Linked DNA regions of Daphnia pulex. The protein of the gene in region 1 purifies or fractionates together with the protein of each later gene. This does not show direct contact. Links are inferred from orthologs where the notes say so. Each region holds a gene or a part of one and is shown on either strand. Other genes may lie near its edges.

Evidence for each region.
Region 2: the proteins of E3 ubiquitin-protein ligase RNF185-like (region 1) and membralin-like purify together in Homo sapiens (affinity purification with mass spectrometry; 3 studies listed by BioGRID and IntAct, counting the BioPlex papers as one, with this or other methods). This does not show direct contact. The link is inferred for Daphnia pulex from reciprocal best matches to the Homo sapiens genes RNF185 and TMEM259.

What each region holds. Positions count from the first base shown.
Region 1 is NC_060017.1:4,029,067-4,040,027, reverse strand, and holds E3 ubiquitin-protein ligase RNF185-like, read left to right. Parts: upstream 1-8,665; 5' UTR 8,666-8,790; exon of another isoform or gene 8,791-8,827; intron 8,828-8,903; 5' UTR 8,904-8,915; coding exon 8,916-9,085; intron 9,086-9,157; coding exon 9,158-9,341; intron 9,342-9,509; coding exon 9,510-9,621; intron 9,622-9,678; coding exon 9,679-9,788; 3' UTR 9,789-9,988; downstream 9,989-10,961. Other genes in the region: small G protein signaling modulator 1-like, read right to left, coding at 90-199, 562-741, 925-1,049, 1,182-1,381, 1,449-1,563, 1,627-1,743, 1,813-2,061, 2,130-2,254 and 15 more; anaphase-promoting complex subunit 7-like, read right to left, coding at 10,292-10,366, 10,429-10,549, 10,637-10,782, 10,847-10,896, 10,959-10,961. UniProt on the Homo sapiens protein: E3 ubiquitin-protein ligase that regulates selective mitochondrial autophagy by mediating 'Lys-63'-linked polyubiquitination of BNIP1.
Region 2 is NC_060022.1:7,228,245-7,240,047, forward strand, and holds the start of membralin-like, read right to left. Parts: upstream 7,730-11,803; 5' UTR 7,561-7,729; intron 7,401-7,560; 5' UTR 7,388-7,400; coding exon 7,130-7,387; intron 7,075-7,129; coding exon 6,824-7,074; intron 6,740-6,823; coding exon 6,561-6,739; intron 6,472-6,560; coding exon 6,225-6,471; intron 6,137-6,224; coding exon 6,046-6,136; intron 5,963-6,045; coding exon 5,905-5,962; intron 4,020-5,904; coding exon 3,936-4,019; intron 3,854-3,935; coding exon 3,721-3,853; intron 1-3,720. Other genes in the region: uncharacterized protein LOC124196175, read right to left, coding at 9,153-9,427, 9,523-9,634, 9,703-9,813, 9,881-10,068, 10,177-10,290, 10,369-10,582, 10,641-11,231, 11,304-11,533 and 1 more. UniProt on the Homo sapiens protein: May have a role in the ERAD pathway required for clearance of misfolded proteins in the endoplasmic reticulum (ER). Promotes survival of motor neurons, probably by protecting against ER stress.

The DNA.
Region 1 (10,961 bases):
TTACTCGACTTTACATGAACTTTTACAGTTCAAACGAATCAATTAATAAATTATTACAAAATAAATCCGATGAAGACATCATTACTCACCTCTTTTGAAATCTAGGAGAAACCACCGATAACAGAAATAAAAATGGGTGTAATCTCCATTTTGATGCATCAAGTCGAATAGTTCGCCGTCGAGAATTTGAATAAGTGATCTATTGATAAAATTATTTTTATGAGCGCTTGTAACAACAATAGATAGTTTCAACTGAACAAAAATTTGCAATACTACTTATTTTTTTATTGAATCTTGAATGAAATTATTTCCCTTTTCGAATGAAAATTATCACTAAAAACATATTTTAATTCATTTAAAATTTTAATTAATTAGTTTTAAAAATGTAAGCTTTCCGCAAATTGAGCCTCGCAGGTTTATCAATCTAGTTCTCCTTACAAAGGATATTATGTTAACAGTTAACTATTCAATATTATGTCTTTGAGCATTTAAAAGCTCGTTTTAGAATGTCTAACTTAAAAACCTTACTTAAAAAATAGATTTTATAGGAAACGGTTTTACCTCATATTGGCAAAATGTAAATCCATTGCTCCTCCCTGAGGAAAATTAGCTGACATTCTTTTCATTAACTCACAAAAACATGAATATGTGAGAGCTTCGTCTTCTATGATGACGAGTAAAGGAGCCACTAGATCACACATTCCTTGCATGTAACCGATATCAAGATGGCACCAAACATATCTGCAACAAAAATACTCGTTTTAGCTGTGTCTTTCAAATTATCGCGTTGGTTAAACCGCAGAAAAGTAGTTTTAAAAAATATGGTACTTTACACATGTTATAAAATGACAATAAAAAATAGCTTTAGAAATCACGGCGAAAAACACGAACAAGAGCGTTGCAAATATTTTGTTTTTCCCTTACGTGCACATAATGTTCCGAAGTTTGTCTAGATTACTAGGCGTAAAATAGTGGTAGTTTCGGTCACATCGTTGAACATCCTTGTCTATTCGATGTAAGTTGAGACCATACTTTTCCAGCAATTCCGCCTTATTCAGACATAAAGGGAAAAATTATCAAAATCTTTGTTGACTTGATAGGGTATTAAAGTCTCCCTTTGAAAAAATGCCCAACTACCCCAAAAGGATTGAATAATTTTACGTAGTGGAAAATTAAATTACCGTGTAAATTCCACCTTGGGAGCTTACGGGTGAAACACAAGATGATCTTGAACCTATGCTACAGCGGTCCATGCCGTCATCAATGATCAGATTAGGCAGACTGAGATTTGTGTCTTTAGTTGAACTAATATCAGCAACCATAGTTGAACCATTTTGTAAACTTCTACTGCCGTTGTTCTCCAATAATGTTTGCCGATGAACTGCAATTATTACAACACCAGTGTTCAATTAATAATTCTTCTAAAAAAATTGCCTTTCTAATTTTACTTTCAAAATCTATACATGCTGCAATATCATCTGCTGCGCAAGAAGGTGGATGAGTAGTTATAACTTTGACCATAGTAACATTTGATGGACAGACATCACAATCCTGACTTTTACTCTAAGAAACGAATAATAAAAAGTTGTCAAAATAAATTCATACAGTTACACGTGTAGTAATAACCTTTTCATCAATCGTTTCGTATGGGTGTTTAGCGATAACGTCATTCTCGTCTTCCAATTTATCCTCATTTTTGTCGTTTTCGATATGATCCGCCTCCAAGTCTTCAGAATCGAAAACCTTAGAAATACAAGAGCAATTCACGAAACTGAATTTTTTGATCGAATACGTAAATCTGAATATTATTACTTCATTGCTCAGTATCCTACTCTGGTCTTCGACGGGGTCTTCAAAAAGTTGATCTCCACTTTGTGACCCAAAGGAAATTTTGGCAATGCTCGCAGCAGTAATTTCTTTGTCTCTCTGGCGAATTATAGCTTCAACTGCAAGCCACTCTGACATTGTTGATTCGTACGCTGTTTGCATTGCTCTGTCTTGGGTGTGCCGTTCCTCTATTGTGCTTCCGAAGGGATAATGTCCAAGTAAATATGGCCACACCTTGAAAAAACGAAAATCTTTATAATCATTTGCATAAAAAGTAGATTTTTGAATTTTTAAAAGTCAACCTCTTTACGCAAGTTATGTTCAACTCCTCCATAATATGTCAAACGGAAAAGTTCAAAGGAGTTTGACAGCACACCATCCACCACCAGCCGTGACCAACTTTTTTCGTTGACCCCACTGTTTTCATCTAAAATTCAGTTAATCCCATAATTGGCAATTAATCGGCAATCAACAGAAATTTAACAGCATGATGATGATTAATCGGCAATAAATATTTAAAAAAAAGTGAAAATTACAACTGAAATAATAAAAATCTCACCACATGAATTATTCCTTGAAATGATCGCATCATTTACTAATCCAGAGAGATGGGTTCTAACAGTACGTAAGTGTCTGCAGTGTCCCAACCAGCCATAAAATGCTCGTGAAATTATCTGTCGCTTCATTGTTTCACACAGCACTTGCAAAGACTTCCTATATTCAAAAATATTTAATAAACAAGCAATCAAGAGAAATCCTAAGAGTAGGACCCAAATTTAAAAACAAAATCGTAATGAATTCAAGAAATTTCCTAATATAAACGTTTGAAAATTAATTTTTTAGATTTAATGAGTAATTTAATTTTCAGTCATATGGTGTTGCACTTAAAGAAATATTTTTAGACAACTTTGAATTCAAGTTAGTTCCGAACAGCTAACTTAATACAAATGTACTATTTAAAACACACCCCCGTTTAACGATGTTGTGGACTCCAATTAAGGTTGATGATTGAGAAGAAACAGAGTCATCAACTGTTTCGAAAAATACAGAATTGATGACACTGTTACAGGTGTTCTCAGCGAGGCTAAGACTTGCGGCAAAGCTTTTAGAAGAAGAAGACGAGCTGCTTGTAGATTCTGTTGAGTTAAAGGGACGGCTATGGTTAGTTGACCACCATCGTGGACTCATTGATCCTTAATAAATTATGAAAACAAAAAACAATGTGTGAATAAAAATATTTCGGCTTTTTAATTCACTTGGAATTTCATTCCCAAAAATTAGGAAATGCAAAGTTGTTTGCTTACTTTTTATCTGGGATATCAATCTGTAGTGGTAAACAGATGAAGTACTTAACGGTAATGGACGGGGAACTTAATATTAGGTAAAGTAAATATTTCTCTAAAAATACACCTTAAAAAAAAATGAATGCGGAAGATAGTTTGTTACGCATTCAGCTCTTGTTAAAAATTACTGTGTTACTCCCGCACTTTAAAACCGTTCTGAATCGTTAATATGAACTGCACGCTAAAAATTATTATTCCAGAATTCAAACTCATTGCAAGCGCAAACTATAAAATATTTAAAGACATTTTTTTTAAAGAACTAAATATTTTACAAGAGCTCTATTGTACACCAGGATCGACACAATAGGATTTTTAAATTGCATAAAATTTAAATAAAACTTTTACCTTGATTTTGGCAAGCGTTGGTTCCCTGTGATAAATAGGCATTTTCATCGGACGATTCTTGGAGTAATTCTAAGTGAAATATATTTAAGTAGTATCCTTATGCGATTTGATTACATATTCGACATCTAGTAACACTAAATCTATTTTTTGCTCATTTATTCCGTTCTCTAATATAATTTAGAACTGTTCAACAAATTTAACTGTTCAAGCAATTTCCAGTGTCCTATCGAAGTTTTAAACGCAGCCAATATAGTAATAGAAAAAAATGATTACCTGGATTATGATCGTGGACGAAATCACCACTCGTGGTTACAATGCGAAATACATAGTCTGATGATATCGACGATTCGTCTGTAATATCTTCATCGTTTCCGTTGCTTTCAACAGCGTTGTAGCTTAACATTGCGAGAAGATTGTCTCCGGATGAAGGTCCTTTTCTTTTTATTTTGGGAAATGTTTTGCCTTGAAACATAATACTTAATTATTTACAAATAATAATTTATACCATGAACATCTACGCGTTTTATGTAAAGCCAATTATTAAATTTCTGTGTTTTTTTTTCTTGTTTAAGCAATTTAGGTCATTCTATCATTTTCCGCACATCTGTCTCAAAAAGAAAAGAAATACATACCTTTATCTGTTTGGGTCCACAGGGGAGGATCTAATCGTCCACGGGGATTTAAGCCAGTTTCTAAACATGTTAAAAAGGCCAATAAATGGCCTCCGGCTGGAAAATGAATTGCGGGATATTGAACTCCATCCTGGCCAACGAGTACCATACTGCCACCAACATCAAATCCTTGAAAATTAATTTACAACGTTATTCTCAAAATCATACGAAACATTTGGACATGTATAAAAAAAACAACAATCTAAGTTATTACCTTTCTGGTGACAATGGACGTAGACGATGTCATACAAATTTACATGCAGAGCATAGTTCCAATACGTACTGAGGAAAAATATAATGATGAAACATAACATTACTTGACCGTCAGAAAACAAAAATTTACCGATAGATAACCCAGACAATTTGGTTTTCTTAGTTAGTTAATATCTATGGGTTCATTACTAAAATAACCGTCAGCCGTACAACAATATGTGAACTTATGATGTAAAAAAACTTAATAAAATCTGTTTGTGACACGAATATTATTTTCGGGAAATCATTCTTACAATTAAATTTATAGAATATCAATTTACCTTTTGTCAACACCATCGAAATCTATTCCGCCATTCATCAATTGATTTGGAGTCCATTTTAGAGTCAACGAATCCATAGCGTGGTGTAGCGAAAGGTATCCCGGAATCGGTTCTGTCAACTCACGCTGTTTATAATTATGAAAAATTACTACTAATGCAAGACAGTAAGACACACACAAAAAAATACATTATTTGGACAATACAATTTTAAACAACTCGTTTTGTCATTACACAAGAAAATGGGTTTTCTTGTACAACTGTAGCCCACTGTGGCCTCACATTGAAGCTTTCAACAATCTTTCAGCTGGTTTTCAGGGTTTTCGTAGCCAAACAAAAGAAGTTCTGGTGCTGTAAACTAAGGATGTGTATAATTGCTTACCGACAACACGAGGACGTTGTTTTTCCCATAAAGTAGAACAACTTTGTTGTTTTGATGAAGAGATTCCACATAATTCTTGGCGGTAGAGTTAACGTAACAATTTCTGCTCCCCATAGAACTAATCGATTCGCCATCACTGCTGCTACCTCCAGGTAAAAGTTTTCGGTACTGCAATCACAAAAAAAAAGTTTGAATGCAGTAGTAATGAATATCTTATAATCTGGATCAGTTTTAGCATTTTTAAATGAGAAAAGGTTCGCAATGTATATCATGATTCATTCGAATGAAACGTGCTGGGCTACTAGCAGAACTCAGAATGGGATGTAAATAAAGCGCTTGGAGCGTTACTTAAGCCCCTACCGGTAGAGGCTAGAACTAAAGACTAAATTAGCTGCTCAAATGACATAATTAACATTTGGATACCATTAACAATAAATAATAGAGAATACGATGTAACTTACATGAAGTCCTGGACGTCGATTAGCTGGAGAGGTTACGCCTGACGATACGTAACTAGAAATACGATGCCTCTGAACAAGTTCGTCGGCAGGTGGGTCCGTCCAATAATGATCCTTGGTTTTTAATTTGGTAAACTCAAGAGCACATGGACCAGCTATAAAGAGAATAGATTGTTTAAAAAATAAGATACGGAATTTCTAACTATACACAATTAATACGATTTGACCAAGTATTTTGTTTTAAATATTGAAAGATAAACATCGCATTTGTTCGCAACATTTTGGGGAAACGTACTCGTTCTCCTTTTAAAAATATACATGGAAAACATATAGACCTACAATGTTCATTTTTCAACTCACCGAGAAGATGACCTAAAAGGGAGCCGTATTCAGGATCTGCGACAAGGGCGTCGTTTTCATAATATTTCCTATGGTTCAATTTACTATAATTAATAATCAATAAATGGAATCAAATAAAAAACCACTTACAAATGATTCTCAACGATATGCTCAATAATCCCTGCCAAAATGCGTTCAAAAAGTGCTAATCGGATCCAAAGATATTTTTGTGTACTGGTTCCTTTAGATAACCACGAACCCGAATTTCTTTTCTGCAAAATGGGCTTGATACCGCTTCCTCCCGTTCCTCCGCACGAAAGCATTCTGGTGATGCTATCTCCGCTTGAAGACGATCTTCTGTGCATAAAAAAAAAAAAAACAAGAACAAACAACAATGTACATAAGATACGACTTCAATTTAAATCCGAGTAGCCTATAATCTGCCTATAATCTATGAACAATTAAACTTCAAAGGTGACAACAAAATTTGCACATACTTTACTCCTTCAGAAGAATCGGCTTCTGTAATGAGCTTTGAAATTACTGCAGCAGGTGGGTATATTTTGGCAACTTTATGCATCAAAGCCGTGGTTGACGATGAACGAAAGAGCCCCAGCGCTCGCCGCCGAAGTCCATGAGACAAGCACCCCTCTACGGCGGCTGCCAAATAAATTTTGTAACGTAAAATATTAGATCTAAAAATCATACCAGTGTATAAAATATCACGTCCCAACAAATATTTGCACAACACTGAATTCATTCAGATTAATCGAAAATTTTAGCAAAATAACAATTAATAAAAGTAAGAGACTTCCGGTCGAATGATTTTTTAAAATGGATAAATAAGCGATAATCGCAAAAATATGGAATCAGCGATCAAATGTGTAGCAACATTCTTTACACATGCATTACTTTGATCAAATTTTATGAGCTTACCACAAAGGGATGTGACGGAGCTGCTGTCTTGGTGCACAAACTTGCGTGTCACTGCCTCTTCCATGATTTGTTTTACCTATGTGAAGAACACAGTTAATATTTTATATATTGACTAGTAACTAGTAATATTCAGTTGGTAACTAGAAAGGGGGCGGAGATGCTTTTGTCAAGGACTTTCATAAATTTTTACCCAGTTACCTTTTCATTTGGTTTAACTTGCCTTTTTCGTCACATTGTTTTTTCGTTTCCTTTTTTGTTTTTCCTGTTGCTATTTCCCCCTAGTTTCTACGAAAAAAGTACCAGAGTGCGGACCCCATGACCAATTGACCATTTCAAAACGCCGTGCGCAAGCGTGATGTCGACGGCCGGTACTTACTTGATTAATTTCAATATGTATTTAAGAAAAAACCGCTAACCTTCTTAGCCACGGTCTTTTGAAAAGAAAAAAAAAACTTACAACTTTGGCTGAAATTTTTTCGAATAGAAAATTATCGACTAAAAAAAAGATAATCACAGGCTCGCAGCCCAGGAGTGAAAATGCTGCAAATCATTCCCTATAAAGTATAAAGACAAATGTGGGTTGGATCGATTGCATCTACTCGTTTGACAGTGTTGCCGCTGTGATAAAATACCGTATTTACGATGTCTTAGCAAAATATCAGAACCTTATCCTATTACCCAATAAATCGACGACGAGCTGTTTATTTATGATTTATCTCATCTTACTACGAAATTAATCCAATGAAGAAGAAAATGATGTTGCGACGTTAAAAATATGGCTTTCAATTTATGGGGCGTAACACCTATAGTTCAGTTAGCGATCGATACGTAAGTAAGGCTGTATTTGTATACGTTTTAAAAAACCAAAATCCGGTGTATAGATTTTTAGTTTTTCGCATTAATCAAAAGATAAAATGCGAGTCCTTACCTCTTTTTTTACAGTTTTGATAAGACGTTCTTTGAACTCCTTGTCTGAAATAAAAAATTCTGTTAGTCATTCTCATGCAATAAATGTATGATATTGCTTCTAAAATTTAGAAAAGTATGTTTTACTATAGTGATCAGGTTATGTCTGACCGACTAGCTTCCATAACTTACCATTTGATGAGTGAGCCATCTTCATAACAGGTGGATAACTAGAAAAAAACAGCAATCGGCTTCCAAATGTGCATATAACGTTACAATTATTACGCCTTCAGATCAACACGACAACTTATAGCGGGGCGGCCAATTGGCAATTGCCAATCTACGAAGGGTTCAGTGTGTTGGAAGTCAAAAGTTTATGGTAAAATGGAGTAGTAGAAGTTCGGATTGTACATGAATACACTATCGTCTTCGGGCACTTGTTGTCGATGTCCGTCAAACTAAAAAACTGGTTGGTTCGACAGCCTGTGGGAAGCACAAAACCGCAGCATGAACGTATTCACAGAGCTCAACGTTTTACGTCACCTACGGGTAGCAATGCGCTTGCGCATGTCAAATGTTTTCAGTGTGTATAATTGAAACAGGAAATGGCCTACAAATATTTAAATCGTGTTGTGTCAACGTTATATTTGGATGTCATCGTGGGAGAATCAAACTCCACGAGATTATTTACAACTTGACTGCGCCAGCCATTTGAATGTTATCCAATGATCAATGCCCTATTTTTCAAATAAAAACTCAATAATTAATAGTCAACTTTTTTTTTGTAAACATTTACTTACTTTGCAGTATACCTTCATCGAAATAAAATTTTAGTTGAAAACATGGTTGAAAAAATTTCCGTGTAAATAGATGTGATAATATTGCCGAATCTAAAAAAAAAAGTGAAATTGGCAACCTTTATGACGTAGTTGAGTTTTGTATTGAATAGTGAATAGTCAGTCAGTGGCCTACTGAAAGTGCAGCAGCTGGGAATGAAATTAAACCAATGTTAAAGTTCACAGACTAGATGCTTTAACTTTGAATTATCCAATTGTAAACTAGTATTCTAATTTTCCATTCAACGTTTTTCGTGAGTGGTATTAGACACGTTAAAAAAAAGTTAAATAATATTGCTAGTGAATGTAATGAAATGCTTGTATTTTTAGGTTTTAATTAGAATGGCTGTAGATGAAGAACCCGACACTACTGCGAAAAATAGCGCAGGAGGTGACAACACAGAAAATAAAAGAAATGAAAGTAGAGGTGAAGAAGAAAGAGCCTTTGAATGCAACATATGTTTGGATACGGCAAAAGATGCAGTCATTAGTATGTGTGGACATCTTTTTTGGTACAAGTCTAAGGAATGTTTCCATGTTTTCAGAGATTGTGTTGTTTAATTTCCCTGTTTTATTACATGAAGCTGGCCGTGCTTGCATCAGTGGCTGGAAACAAGACCAAACAGGCAGTCATGCCCTGTCTGCAAAGCTGCTATAAGCAGAGATAAAGTTATACCATTATATGGACGTGGGGGCTCAAAAGAAGATCCAAGAGAGAAATTGCCTCCTAGACCTCAAGGTCAAAGGACAGAACCAGAAAATACAGGAGTAAATATTTATATAATTTCACTACATTTCATTGTGTAAATGATGAAGTTGGTAACACATATTGTGTACCCTTACGCAAGTGTAAAATAAGAATAATATTTTTTTATTAACCATGACCAAACATTTCAGACTACTGAATCATTTTCTTTTTCAAATTTACTTTTTCAGGCTTTCTCGAATTTTGGATTTGATGGGGGATTTCAAATGTCTTTTGGAATTGGAGCCTTTCCATTTGGATTATTTGCTTCCACTTTCAACTTTGGTGATCCTGTTATTAGAGGTGAAGATACATTAGAAATCAATCAACCTGGTTAATAATAGTAAAAATCTTGCATAGGTCACGGAGCCCATGGAACAAATCCTGCAAATTTGGAAGACGAACGCTTTTTGTCACAATTATTTTTGTGGGTTGCAATTCTTTTTATCTTTTGGTTATTGGTAGCTTAAACTTGTGGTTCTTGGTTCTTCTGTGTTGTAAATTTTTTATTCTAAAGATTCCCGGGGTTTATACTTTTAATGAAGTATTTCTCGAAAATTTCCTAGACAGTGGATTTATATATATGAAAATTAAAAGTGAAATGTTCAGAGATTGCAAGTCTTGTTAAATGAAATTTTTCCCTTATTAAATAGATCATTCGTGAATAACATTTAAACCATATTTTTTAAAATGTGTAGAAAGGACTAGACTATATATTAATTAAATTAGTTGATCAATTGGTTGTACAAGCTGGTCATCAAGATATTCTTGGGGAGTGAATAACAAAATGAAAATAATTACAGTATACATGAAGTAATCCTCAGAGGACACCTGAGAGAACCAAATATGGAAAAGGTAGGCTAATTAATTTTTCATTTCGATGATAAAATCAATAGAATGCGGGAAGCGCTAATAGGATTATACTTTTTGTAGAAAATGTATTTTTGAGTGATTGTACAAATAAATCATGAAACTACCGAAATTGATCCAAGTTCATGTCGGCCCACATTCCACCCATAGGATCGATGTCGACTTCTTCAATGGTTGGCTTGAAAACGATAGCTTTTAACATATGCATATATTTTGTTTTTCACTTTAAATTGAATTTACCTCTTCATCAGAATCAGGAAGATCATCAGCTTCCAAATCCAGATGATTTTCTAGTTTAGCTACCAATGCGTTTTCAAGCCTATTGATGGCCTCAATGGTTTTTACGTTATTCGGTTCAAGCCTAAAATTACAAAGAAAAAAATTAAACACATGCATAGTATGTGAATATGCAAGTTAAAGTAAAATCAAGTGATAAAGATTCTCGTACATTAGTGCAGAATTGTACTGTTCCAATGCTTTATCCATATCTCCATTTTTTATGAATAGGTCTCCCAAAATATGATGTAACCTGTTTGTAGGTTGCTGATTTATTTGCTTAGTAAGCAGTTCAATGGCTTTTGATCTCTGGCCAGCCTGAAAATAATTGTAGTCAATGGTAGTTCAGTGAGTGGTTCTGTAGGATTGTACAGCTACTCACCTGCTCATACGAGTCGATTAAAAGGAATACAGCTGGAGTGTATCGAGGATCTACAACGGAAAACGTTATACAATTTTTTTTTTACACCGGAAACTATTCATGTTAATTTTACCCA
Region 2 (11,803 bases), on another chromosome or scaffold:
CAACTTGCAGAGTTGCCAGCGACGCGTCCTAGCCCTTGCATCGGATGAACCGATCGGTCAGCTGGATGTGGCAGCGAGCGAAGCCACTTCCGTCGACATGGATCTCTCATCTGTAGTCGTGCAATCTACTTTCTCGTCGACACATCTTTCGCATTTCCTCCAACTCAGCGCCAGGTCCCTGAGCCCAATGATCCGCTTCAGATTCCATCACCGAGCAACGAGACTAACTCTACGCAACATCAGAGCGACTCGCCCTTTCCTCTTTGGCTTCCTTTCTTTCAACCCCACCCGGTCCCCTCTATCTCCACCCTCTTCCGCTATATAAATTTGGGATATAATCTACAGTACATGTCTCAGTCTATATATATAATATATAATATATATAGAGAGAGATATATTAGTGATGTTCTCGTTTAAATAACGACAACGAAAATAACGTATTAACGAGCCTCGTTGTCGACTTTTTTGAAAAATGCTCGTTTTTTTCGTTAACGATAACGAAATGGCTGTTTTTTTCGTTGTTTTCGTTAATTTCTTGCTAAATTTTTCGTATCAAAACCGTAGAGATTTCAAATTTTTTGCCATCAGGGGGAACTTTTTTTCCCTCAAAATTTGGAATTTTCAATTTTGAAATGACCACCTACTAGCGACTTAGCGATCCCCTAGCGAGGAATTAGGTCATTATTTTCGATACATCATTTGGCCTAACATGCCTACTCATTACTTCATTAGAAAAAAAAATTGTAAGGTAAACGAAAACGGGTCGCAAAAAAAGAAAAATGCGACACGTTTAAATTAACGAAACGAAGAACGAAACGAATGAAAAATTGAAAAAATAACGATTAACGATAACGATAACGAATCCAAAAAAGCACAACGGAACAACACTAAGATATATATATACACTATACACGTTCCCTTTAGTCTCTTTCCTTAGCTTACGCTGTCTTCTTCTCAGAACCTTCCGGCTGGTTTTGATTTAACCCGATTGGGGGGGAAGGGGGGGGCGACTGATCCGTCTCAATTAATCAAAGGTAAAAGGTATTGCCATCCCGTTCGACAAGTGCGATCTTGCTGTGCTGCCCTGACGTACACACACACACACACACATACACACTCTACTGGATGTGAAAGAGGATCTCAACTTTCGTCTTCAGGCTACAGCCGCGACGGACAAATATGAGACCGTAACGTTACACAGATTCCGGTATTAATAAGTGAACTACTCGGTGAGATATGAATGCGTGCTCATCACTGCGTCAAGTAACTTTTCCCAACAACAACAGCAACAACAGCAACAACAACAAAGCAAACAATATGACTGAAAGGGGAAGCTAACGAAGGCAAATTTGTTGGCCTTTCGGATAGATCATTTCTCCCGTTCTTTTGACTGGGCGCAATAAGACTTCATTTCCTGGCTGCAACTAAATAACTTGTGATTCCTGTTGTCAAAACGATTATTTCTAGATTGAGCAATTGAGTCCCACCATGAATGATATCTCTCCCTCTTTCATCAGCCGGCCAATGAGGCGACAGCTGATTATTTGGCCCTTCCATTCCTCGTGGCGAGTTTTCGTGCAAAGCCAATCAAGTGTATCTAGCATTTATGAGCATTTCGTCTGGTATTTCGGGCTGTCGACATCAAACATCAAACATACAATTTGGCCGTGTTTACGTTCAGCTGAGCCGGCTCTGTACACATTACACAATGTTAGATTGTACGCCATTATACTGTCAAAGTCTAAATGGAGAGACACGTCTAGATGTATCTATAAAGACTCAAAAGAGAAAGAGAAAGAAAAAGAGAAAGAGAGAGAGAGAAGGTGGTAGGAGATGCTTGAGCGAGCACCTACTGTGCGGTGGGGAAACTGCACAGGGAAAGCAGATTGTTGATTAGATCCACTCCGGAGGCGGTCAATGACGAATTGACGAGTCAGCCACTCAACTCAACCTCACCCTTATTTTCTCTCCCACTCTCTTTTGGCTCCGGTCCTTTTTACAGTCCCGCATGCATGCCCCATGCGTGAGCATCGGCTATGGCAATGGCGACAGCTCTCAATACAGGAGAGTCCACTTTGGCTCAATCAACGTCTATTCAACATCAACCTCCCGGGATAATCCAGTCGATGATTGGATATAATTAACTTCCTCTATTCGATATATTTTCATGGCCATATTTTCTTCTTCTACACATCTATAGCACATAATCAACGTATGCGTTTGAGACCCCCCACCCAACACTGGCCACTGGCTTTTTTTGTTATGGCATTATCTCCTTCTGTTCCTTTCCATCGAGTTCTAACCGACTTCCTTCCTCTTGCGACGGCGCTACCTCCCACGTGGACACTGGACAGCATCAGCGACCTTTGCGACCAAATGCGAATCATTCTAGCAACCTTCTACCTTAATTATGTGATATTGTTATCACGACATAATCCGAACCAAACTGTTGAAGCGCTTTCGGCAAACCCAAAAAGAAAAGACATCGGCAAGTAAAAGATTGACGTTTCGACGGAAAAGAGTCGATTCCTCTTTGTTCACTTGAACGAATCGAACTAGGCAACCCTAAACTGACAACACACAAACATGCGGGAATTCTTGAAGGCCGTGAATCTCCAGCCAAGGGGAAATTAAAACGAGTCCCATGCACAGCGCAGTGCGCGGTGGCTCTAACGTGACGGGCTCACGATATGACAGGAGGTCGAGGAGGCGACATTTCCGGCGACAAGAACGATAAGAGGGCGACACAGACTTCTGATCTGTGGTGGTACTTGGTATGCATGGAAAAGGGGGAGCGAGTCAAGAGAGCCGTGAAAGCCATTTTAATTGAAGATATAAAAAAAGAAAGAAAAAAGAAAGAAAGAGCGGAAAATTCGACATCGAAGAGAGGGTTAAATCGTCAGTATTGGCCAAAGCCTTCATGACATTCCATTTCACGGTCTATCAAATCACATGGAGGACTTGGAAGAGTGGGTTAAAAACTTATTTCAAAAAGCAAAAACTCATCAAGCCCACGGATAACCAACTAACTTGTACTAGTTCTGACGTTGCCCGGTTTTCCACAAAATAGGGACGCAAGGCGGTTAACTAATGCCTTTGTTGGCGCTTTAGTCTCCGTCAATTTCGCTTAAAGCCTTTCCAAGAGCGCGGGGAATAAACAGACGAGGGAAAATAAACTTCCTTCCACCAATGCGCTACAGTAAATCCCACCTGTTTCTGTCTCACGTGAATGTTTGGCGCGATGCTTTTCAAATGATGAATAAACAGAAAAGGGGAGACTGGAAAAGGGCAAGTGAAAAACTACAAGTGGTGATGGGGAGGGAGCTGTTTCTAGATTTTTCTTGCCAGATGGAGTCTCATCGGAATTTATCGTTGCAGGCGCCAGAAATGGTTGCCCACACTTTTTATTTGCATGAAATCTCTAAACTCGGAACGACTTCAAACGACCAGTCGACGGCATAACGACCGGGCTAATCAAATGCAAATTCTATTAAAATGACTTTGAACCCCTGCTGTGGAGGACTTTCTAGTTTCTCACTGGAGAAACCCCAAAGAAGCCTCACTATCACCATTAATACCAATTGAAAAAAATTTTATTCAAATTCGGTTGACAGACGAAAAATCGGAGCTAGAGCGCTGCGATTTTACGTAGTGACTAGATGTTTTGATGGATCAATATTATGAGATTGGCCAAGAATGAGGAAAAAAACAACTTCTTACCTGAGCCAGTGACGTTTGGTGACGCTAGTGTGACAGCAAACTGCATCGTACTGATCTGCCACCCAGACGAAGATAATGACATAAAAGGCAGTGGAACTGTCGTTGAAGAATTCGGCCATAATAGCTTCCATTCCTAAAAGAAAATTCGTGAAAATATTTTAAATTTACCACCAAATGTTTACTAATTTATTTGGTAAAAAGGAGGAAAAACTTGCCGACTAAAGCCAGAATGACGGTGAAAAATGACGCGACTGGAAAAGTGACATTTATGTTGAATTCCAGCATCTGCAGCAAGTCGACTGTCGATTTTGTAAAATTTATCAGATTACAGTCACAATGATTTGTAAAAATAACATAACTTTTCCAATCAACAATGGGCATTTTTTTTTTCAATTTGAGTTCTGCATTCGAAAGTTTCTGTGACATAATTAAGTTCGAAAAACTATGACCTTTTTAAAACTGCCTTCACGAATCGGGGGGATGCATTTTACTGCGAATATAATAAAATAAATTGCTTCTGTCTCTCTCTCTCTCTGATTTCCAGAGCCTAGTTTGATTCGGAGGAGAGCAACATCACAACGTTGATGGCCGGACCGTATAAAGTGACATGCAGATTTTGGGCCCGCTGGCACGCACGTAATCCGATCACAGTCATCAAGTGAACTTCAAAAAGTTGCAAAATCCAGTACAAGAGGCATGAAAAAGGTATGAATTGCTAACCCACTTAGTCTGCAACGCATAAAAAATGAGACACTGATGTTAATTTTTGACAGAGATAAAAGCGGGCGATAATAAATAAAGTGGAGATATAGGAGCGAAATTCGACGAGATCTCTTGTACATTCATTAGCGCGATTCTGGATTTCACACATTAACGTTTTATTGATTTACTTAGGAATCGTTATTTGGCGACCGTAATGTTCGCATTATTTCAATTTCATTTTGAAGAGTCAAAACTACTTGGATGGATCCGCTCAGTTGCAAAAGTAAACGCGTGCGAGTTGTCTGCATGTCGTTTACAGTGACGAAAGAACTACCTAACCTTGTCCTTCTTCCGATATGTCTCCCTCCTACACCTAAGGAAAACGGTATCGGCCACGGATGTTCAAAGCGACCAATTTCCCCACGGAACGTAGGAAGCGAAGAAAAAGGGAAGGAAAGAGAGAAGAAGGGAGAACAGTGGAGATTAAGAGAGGAACTAAATCAGTAGAACGACATTTTTGTTGAAAGTTTTTCTCCTGCTTCTCGTCTCCTCTGTTAATCAATGCGTGTTCAACTCTTTCCTCCCTCCCCAGTTCCAATTATCCAACGGATCGCTCAAGTGGAAGCCCTTACTTAAAAGTGAACACGAAAACAACCCCTATGCGCGACCCGTTAACGCAGGAGAAAAATGGGAAAAATAATGCTTAAAAGAAAAGAACGAGATAACCGAATGGCTTACGAAAACACTGAAAACATGGTCTCCACCTTTCATTCGCAAACGTTCAACAACAGAATATCCACCATTTCGTTGGGTTTCTTCCCAAAGACGACCGACGAAACACACGGCAAATGGTACTAATGATCAAACTTGATCACACATGCTTAATTTCCTATCTAGAGCATTCTGAAAACAAGCACACCCAAGCACAAAACTAAACCATTTTAATTTGTCTCCGAGGAAAGTAACTCTCTCTCTACTTCGCTTATTCCACTACTATTCCAAGTATTTGCCTTTAACCACTTTCTACGGTAGAATTGTCGTTTCCGGATGATTCCTCAATGTCCTACAACTGATATAATCTCCTAATGGATACGGGGAGGTTTGTGAGTGTAGATCGAAACTGTCCATTGCTACCTATGGTGAATGCAGCATTTTCTTTTCCCCCTCGTCATGGTCTGCCCTCTACCTCCTACTGGGTTATTTCATTCGCATTATTTTTCTGACTCTAACGTTTTTAAAGCATTGGTAGAAGCGTCCGTATCGACTACTACTACCGTTTAACACTATTTCAGTATATATGGATAAAAGAACTTACAAATCGCTAATGTTAAATATATAGATAAAAAGTTATAAAACAATAATAGCGATGTCAAAATCTTTGGCTATTTGGCAAAACCGTTTTTGCACAATATTGAACGAAATTATTTCAAAAATAGTTTCTAATTGATTTTGACAACACTGAGTAATAAAAGAAAAAATTACCAATAAAAATGAAGATCTGATTCCGTGAATACCGCAACAACATCGATATCGACAAAGTCTAATGAGAGGGAGAAAAAAATACACCAACGAAATTAATATACAGACACATGAACTAAATAACCGACTAGGATTTAGACTTACAAAAATCACCATGGCAAAGGCGGACGCAATATACGATGTACGAGCCATCCACATATTGACAAACCGGTAATGTTCACCTGTCACCACGTTCCTGTGCAAACGCGATCAAAAAATATACGGATAAAAAATACAAGCATTAATTAGAGGTCCCTAATATAAATAAAGATGGCAAAAAATACCGAAGATATCCCTGACTGTCTTCTGCCTCAGCCAAAGCCTTGACTGCTCCCATGATAAAGTCATTGTAACCAAGAAATTCATCAAGTAAAAATCGCCCAAAGCTGTCGCCGAAGCAAGTGTTGTTAACCGGGTCCAGCGTAACGAGCAAAATAGTGATATTTAATTTTCTTCGGGTTGTAGGGCTCAAACGCAAAAAACCGTACTCCAAAGAAAACTCTACAATATACTCTTCCGGTGGCCACACTGCTGGTTGGAAAAAAAAAAAAAAAAATTAAGGAGTAAGAATTGAACAAACAATACTATCATTCAGAATTTATTTATAAATAATTACTTACTGGCTCTTATGATTTTATCGAGTTCTGAAACCTCTGTGGGAAGCAGAGAATCAATCCTTTCATCATCCAAATTCGTGATATTGTTGGTCAAAGTATCATTGAAGTAAATTTCGTCTGATAACAATTCCGTCGTCTCCTTAAGCGCGGATGATTCAGTTTCTTCTGAGTCAGCTGAAGAACTGAAAAAAAAAAAAAATTCAAATCATTTATGATTTGAGCTTACCATCCTTTTTTTTAAGTAGTTCCTCTTTGCAGGCAATTACCTATATGGTCCACTCCAAAAACCAAACATAGCCTGATATTCAAATTGCTCTCTCTGATGTATCCTTTGCTCTTTAGCATAAGAATGGTGTAATGAATAACCCTGTATGTCTGGACCATTTCCACTTCTGGTAATGTCAATTCTCACAATACCCTCTCGTGGCCAGTCAGCTTTTATGTGATCCAGACAGGTGATGGGGGAACGGGAAAAAATTATGTGTATATACAGAAGCATTAGGAAAGCTGCCAGTGCCTAAAAACAATCAAAACTTATAAGGATAAATATTTCTTTTAAGTTAATTTTTTACCTTTAATAGGAAGAGCCATTCCAAAAGTCTTCGAATAGGTTTTGGGAATGTCCTGGCATATGCAATAGCCATTCGATGAAAAATGGCATGGAACATTCTATCTCTCACAGTAGCTAACTGATTAGCATTTACATAATTTGGATTGTTGTTATTAAGCAGAGTAGGTCCAGCACCATTCATGTTGTTTCTAGGTATGTTGTTATTAAAAAGGCCATTTGGGAATAGACCTACTCCAAACAAAAGATTGTCTCGTGGCATAATTCACCTACCACTAAGGTAAGGTAAAGAAAGAAATAAGATATTATTAATATAATAATAAAGGTTTAATAGACAGGGCACTCAGCTAACACAATCGATTTAAGTTGCAGTTTCTTACTCTTATAACGACTGACAATAATCTACCATGAATGACATTTTAAAATATTACTTACCATGCAAGCTGTACCGAGAAATCCGTATCATGGAATTAAACAATTAAACAAAACACTTGTCTAAAACTGAATTTTTTGTTGATTTACTAAAAGATAACAAAATTGTTCCATTACAATAAGTCGACACGAAAAGACTGTAGGCCTACAGTGTACACATCGACGGTGCAGCCATCTATTAAGGAAAAGTTTCATCATAAGTTCTTAATTACGCGCTAACAATTCTTAATCCCATAATAACTAAAAACAAGCCATCTCCCATTCTCACACACCAGTGCACCTTCAAGTTTGAATCCGGAATTGGGTTTTATTTTAATCCGGAAACGGACTAAAATAGAATTGAATTGTTTGCCTTAACACACCGGATTTTTCTCTGTTCGCAGAATGCCGAAATTCCCTATCGCTTATATTTTTTAAATTTTGCAATGGGGGGAAAGAAGGAGGGGACTAGGAGTTGATTTTCGCGATCGCATCGCTTTTCTAGGAAGCGGGGAAAGGAATTTACTTCCCGGATTTGATTAGTCGACTTCCATAACCCATTTGGTAGAGTAGAAGGCTAATTTGGCCAAAGAACCGATGAATAATTTGACAATCAGTTCCGATGGAACGGAACTGCCATTATTCCTTTAAACTACCTGCCTGTGAACGCTTCAAAATTGAACGTCTTTTAATATCAAGGTTCAAGACATAAGCGTGTCGTAAACGCACTTTATCCCGTTGAAAACATTGCTACTGCTGAATTAGACGAGTAAGTATTATTTCATCATTAACTGCGAAATTTTCAAAAAACATTGTAATTTCAATTTTGAATAATAAATTTTTTTTTTTTTTAAACATTCCACTCAGCCTAATCTCTCTCTTTCTCTCTTTTTTTTTTTTTAAGATTTAGGAGGGTCCCACGGCTTGTCCGAAATGTTTATTCTATAGTTTTGTTGTTCGGACAAGTCGTAGAGGAGAGGAATTTCAATTTCGCTTGCGATGCTACTACCGCTACTACGACGGAAATGGGGAAGAGGAGAAGATTGATGAAGTACTGAGTAATATGAGATGGTAGATTTCTTTAGCTTAAATCACTGTCAATTTTACTGTTGAACATTCTTTATTGCTTTAAAGTTTTCTAGTTCCGTTGCTAAGGATATCAGGCTGCTCCAATATTCTGTTGAATTTTGTCATAACTATCTGCCAACCAAGTTTAAAGCGACATGTTTACAGTTATAGAAATTCTAGGTGCACATGCTGACATGCATAACTCATACTATTTTCTGTGTATTACAATTACAGAATGCTACTTTTTTTAAAAAGTACTAACTAAATAGGTCATATAAAATCAGTGTATTTCGTAAAAATACAAACGAAGACTGCACAACATTTTCGTAAAGACCTAATTTAAAAACCTTCAGTTATTTGAGAAAACAACGTAGAACGCCAAACAAGAAATTCGGCGATGTACTTTTGGACGGATCTCTTAAACTTCCCCTCGCTTGGACGGCTCACTTAAAATTTTGCACTTGTCATAACTGTTTTTTAAACTTAGTCACAGAAATAAAACCAGCAATCTTTCGAAAAGCTAATTTTAGTCATGCAAACAGCGTCAATTATCGATTCACTTCCACAGTCGGGTCGTACCTTTCGTAAGTAAACTCGGGATAGAGATTAAAACTCAAATAGTCAAGTGCTTGGTTAAATGCTTGTTGAAGAACTTCAACAAGTTCCTGAAAGGCGGGGCGTTCATCAAGATCGATCTGCCAGCAGCTAACCATGATTTGATAAAGAGGAAGTCCGATATTACCAGGCTGTTTCAACCGCAGCCCACGTTGGACACGCTGAATCAACTCCTTACTGACCCGAATGTCGACATAAGGGGTTGCACCTAATTCAATAGTTTTATTTTGTATTTATTTTTGATTGCTAATAAAGCTAAAATCATTTTTAATAATTATTAAGAAAAAGATGCACATTAATTACCAAGGGTAACAATTTCCCAGAGGATGATGCCAAATGACCAAACTTCACATTTGGGTGCATGCTGAGGACTCGTCAACGCTTCAGGAGCAATCCAGCGTTTAAAATCGGTGCTCTATCACATTAGACAGAAAATAAGCATTAAAGTTTAAAAATACATTTCCGTTCTAATTTAGTGCTCACCTGTCCATTGTTTGGTTGATAATAGTCCATTCCGAACCCCGAGATCTTAGGAACAGTTCCGTCGGTGCTGCATATGAAAATCGTTCTAGAAGATAGCCTTTTGTGAGGTACCTACATAGATATACAGAAACAATTATTTTAGATGGATTTTATCTGAAGAAAAGAATTGAAAACTGACCGATAATGATTGCAAATAAGCCATTCCCTTGGTGATACCAAGACCTACGTCTATGGCTTGAGCTTCGTGTAAGGTTGAGAATCTTTGTTCTTTAGTGGCATAAGACGGGTAGTTGTTCAATGCGCGACTATTTAGTAAAAATTCCTTTAAATTCATCCCATAAAATTCCGTAGCGACCAACATCATTTCTGTAATTTAAAACACAGTGAGACATGAACTCAGTATTTACTTATAATAATATATGTACATATAATTAATATGAAAATATTGTATACATTATTAATTATTTTTATTACCTGGTTCTTCACATACGCCAATAATACCTGCTATATTAGCATGTTGCCCAACCTTAATCAGGACTCCAAGATCTTTTAACATGGAATTTCTTTCTCCTTTTGCCAAAGACTTGTCTAAATGTTTCCAACAGGTTACAATGACAGTTTTTAAATATGATTGAAATAATTAGAAAACATCTCTAATGAATATACCTTCAATGATGTGCAAAGCCGCTTCAATTTTAGATTCGCCTCGTTGAATGTTGCCTTTTAATACTTTGCCAAACTTTCCAGATCCAATCGAATCTGCGGTTTTAACAATATTTTCGGATGGAATTGTCCACATACGTTGAATTAATGATTCGTAATGATCGACAGCAGTCTCTTCAATTCCCATCACAAACGAAGAGTGCACGTAGCCACTATCCTATGATAAGATACAAGAATTAATTTCTCAATCATTTAACTTAGTATGCCATACATACCAATTCAATTGTCGAGGTAGAACCTCCGTGAGTCAGACCCTGTCTGTCTGATTGTTTTCTCGAGCATTTGCGGCGATTTAAGTCGTTGCGATGAACTTTATGACGCAAATAAAAATAGACAAAGATGGAAATAAGAAGTAAAAAGCCTAAAACGCCGATGGCAGCGGACAAGCCAACGACTAAAGCGGGAGGATCTCTTCCATACGGAAGTCGCTGTCGGCGAGTTGTGCTTCGACCACTGGTTATGGGTTTAGTTTTCCGAATAGGAATTTTGTCAATCAAATCTGTTTCTTCCAGTAATTTAGTGAAGCTATTGCCGTTAGTGCCAGGATCTTCTTCCACAACTACTAAAGGTGTTTGCTGGCTGGGAGGTTGAGTTTCGGCAACGGCTTCGACAAACTTTGGCCCAACTTCAGGAGCGTCAACTCCTATAGGATTACTCGGTTCGGAAAAGGAGTATTTAGATACACCTTCGTATGTAGATACAACCCCTAAAACGAAAAGTACTTCTCGATCATCAGGTAATGGAGGATTGTTGAAAGTTCCACCATAGTTTCCACCATCTCCGACCACAAACTCTTGCTTAAAAAACTTGAAAGCAAAAAATTATATCATTAAAAAAGGCAATTATTTATTTGAAGAGGAAACATTTTTTTAGCAAACCTCCGGGCTTAATTCGGCAGCAATGTAAAACGGTATATTTTCTGCTTTTGCTTCTGCCCAGTTTTTTAACGGGCTATCTTTGTGTACACCTATGGAGGCAGCATCTTCGTTTAAAACTATGATTCTGTAGGATGTTATGGGTCCGTGACTGGGTAAGATCGGTTTCAGCTGGATTGTGGCCGTGTTATTAGCTGATTTGATCACCACGGGACGCTCTGGTTTATCTGGGGCTAAATACAAATATTTAAAAATTGCTGAAAAACTCACATGTTAGTTTTACTGTTTACCTCCAATTTCAGTATTGAAAATATTTGATAATGGCACACCATATCCATCCATGGTTTTAGCTTTAACAGTAATATTATACTGAGTACCAGGCTGAAGTCCTGGTAGTTCTGTTGTTGTTGTTACGTTTGAGAAAACCCAATCCATTGGGAGACCTACTGTACTAACTGAATATGAAGACACTGGAGTAGCAGCAACATGATATTCCAGGATAA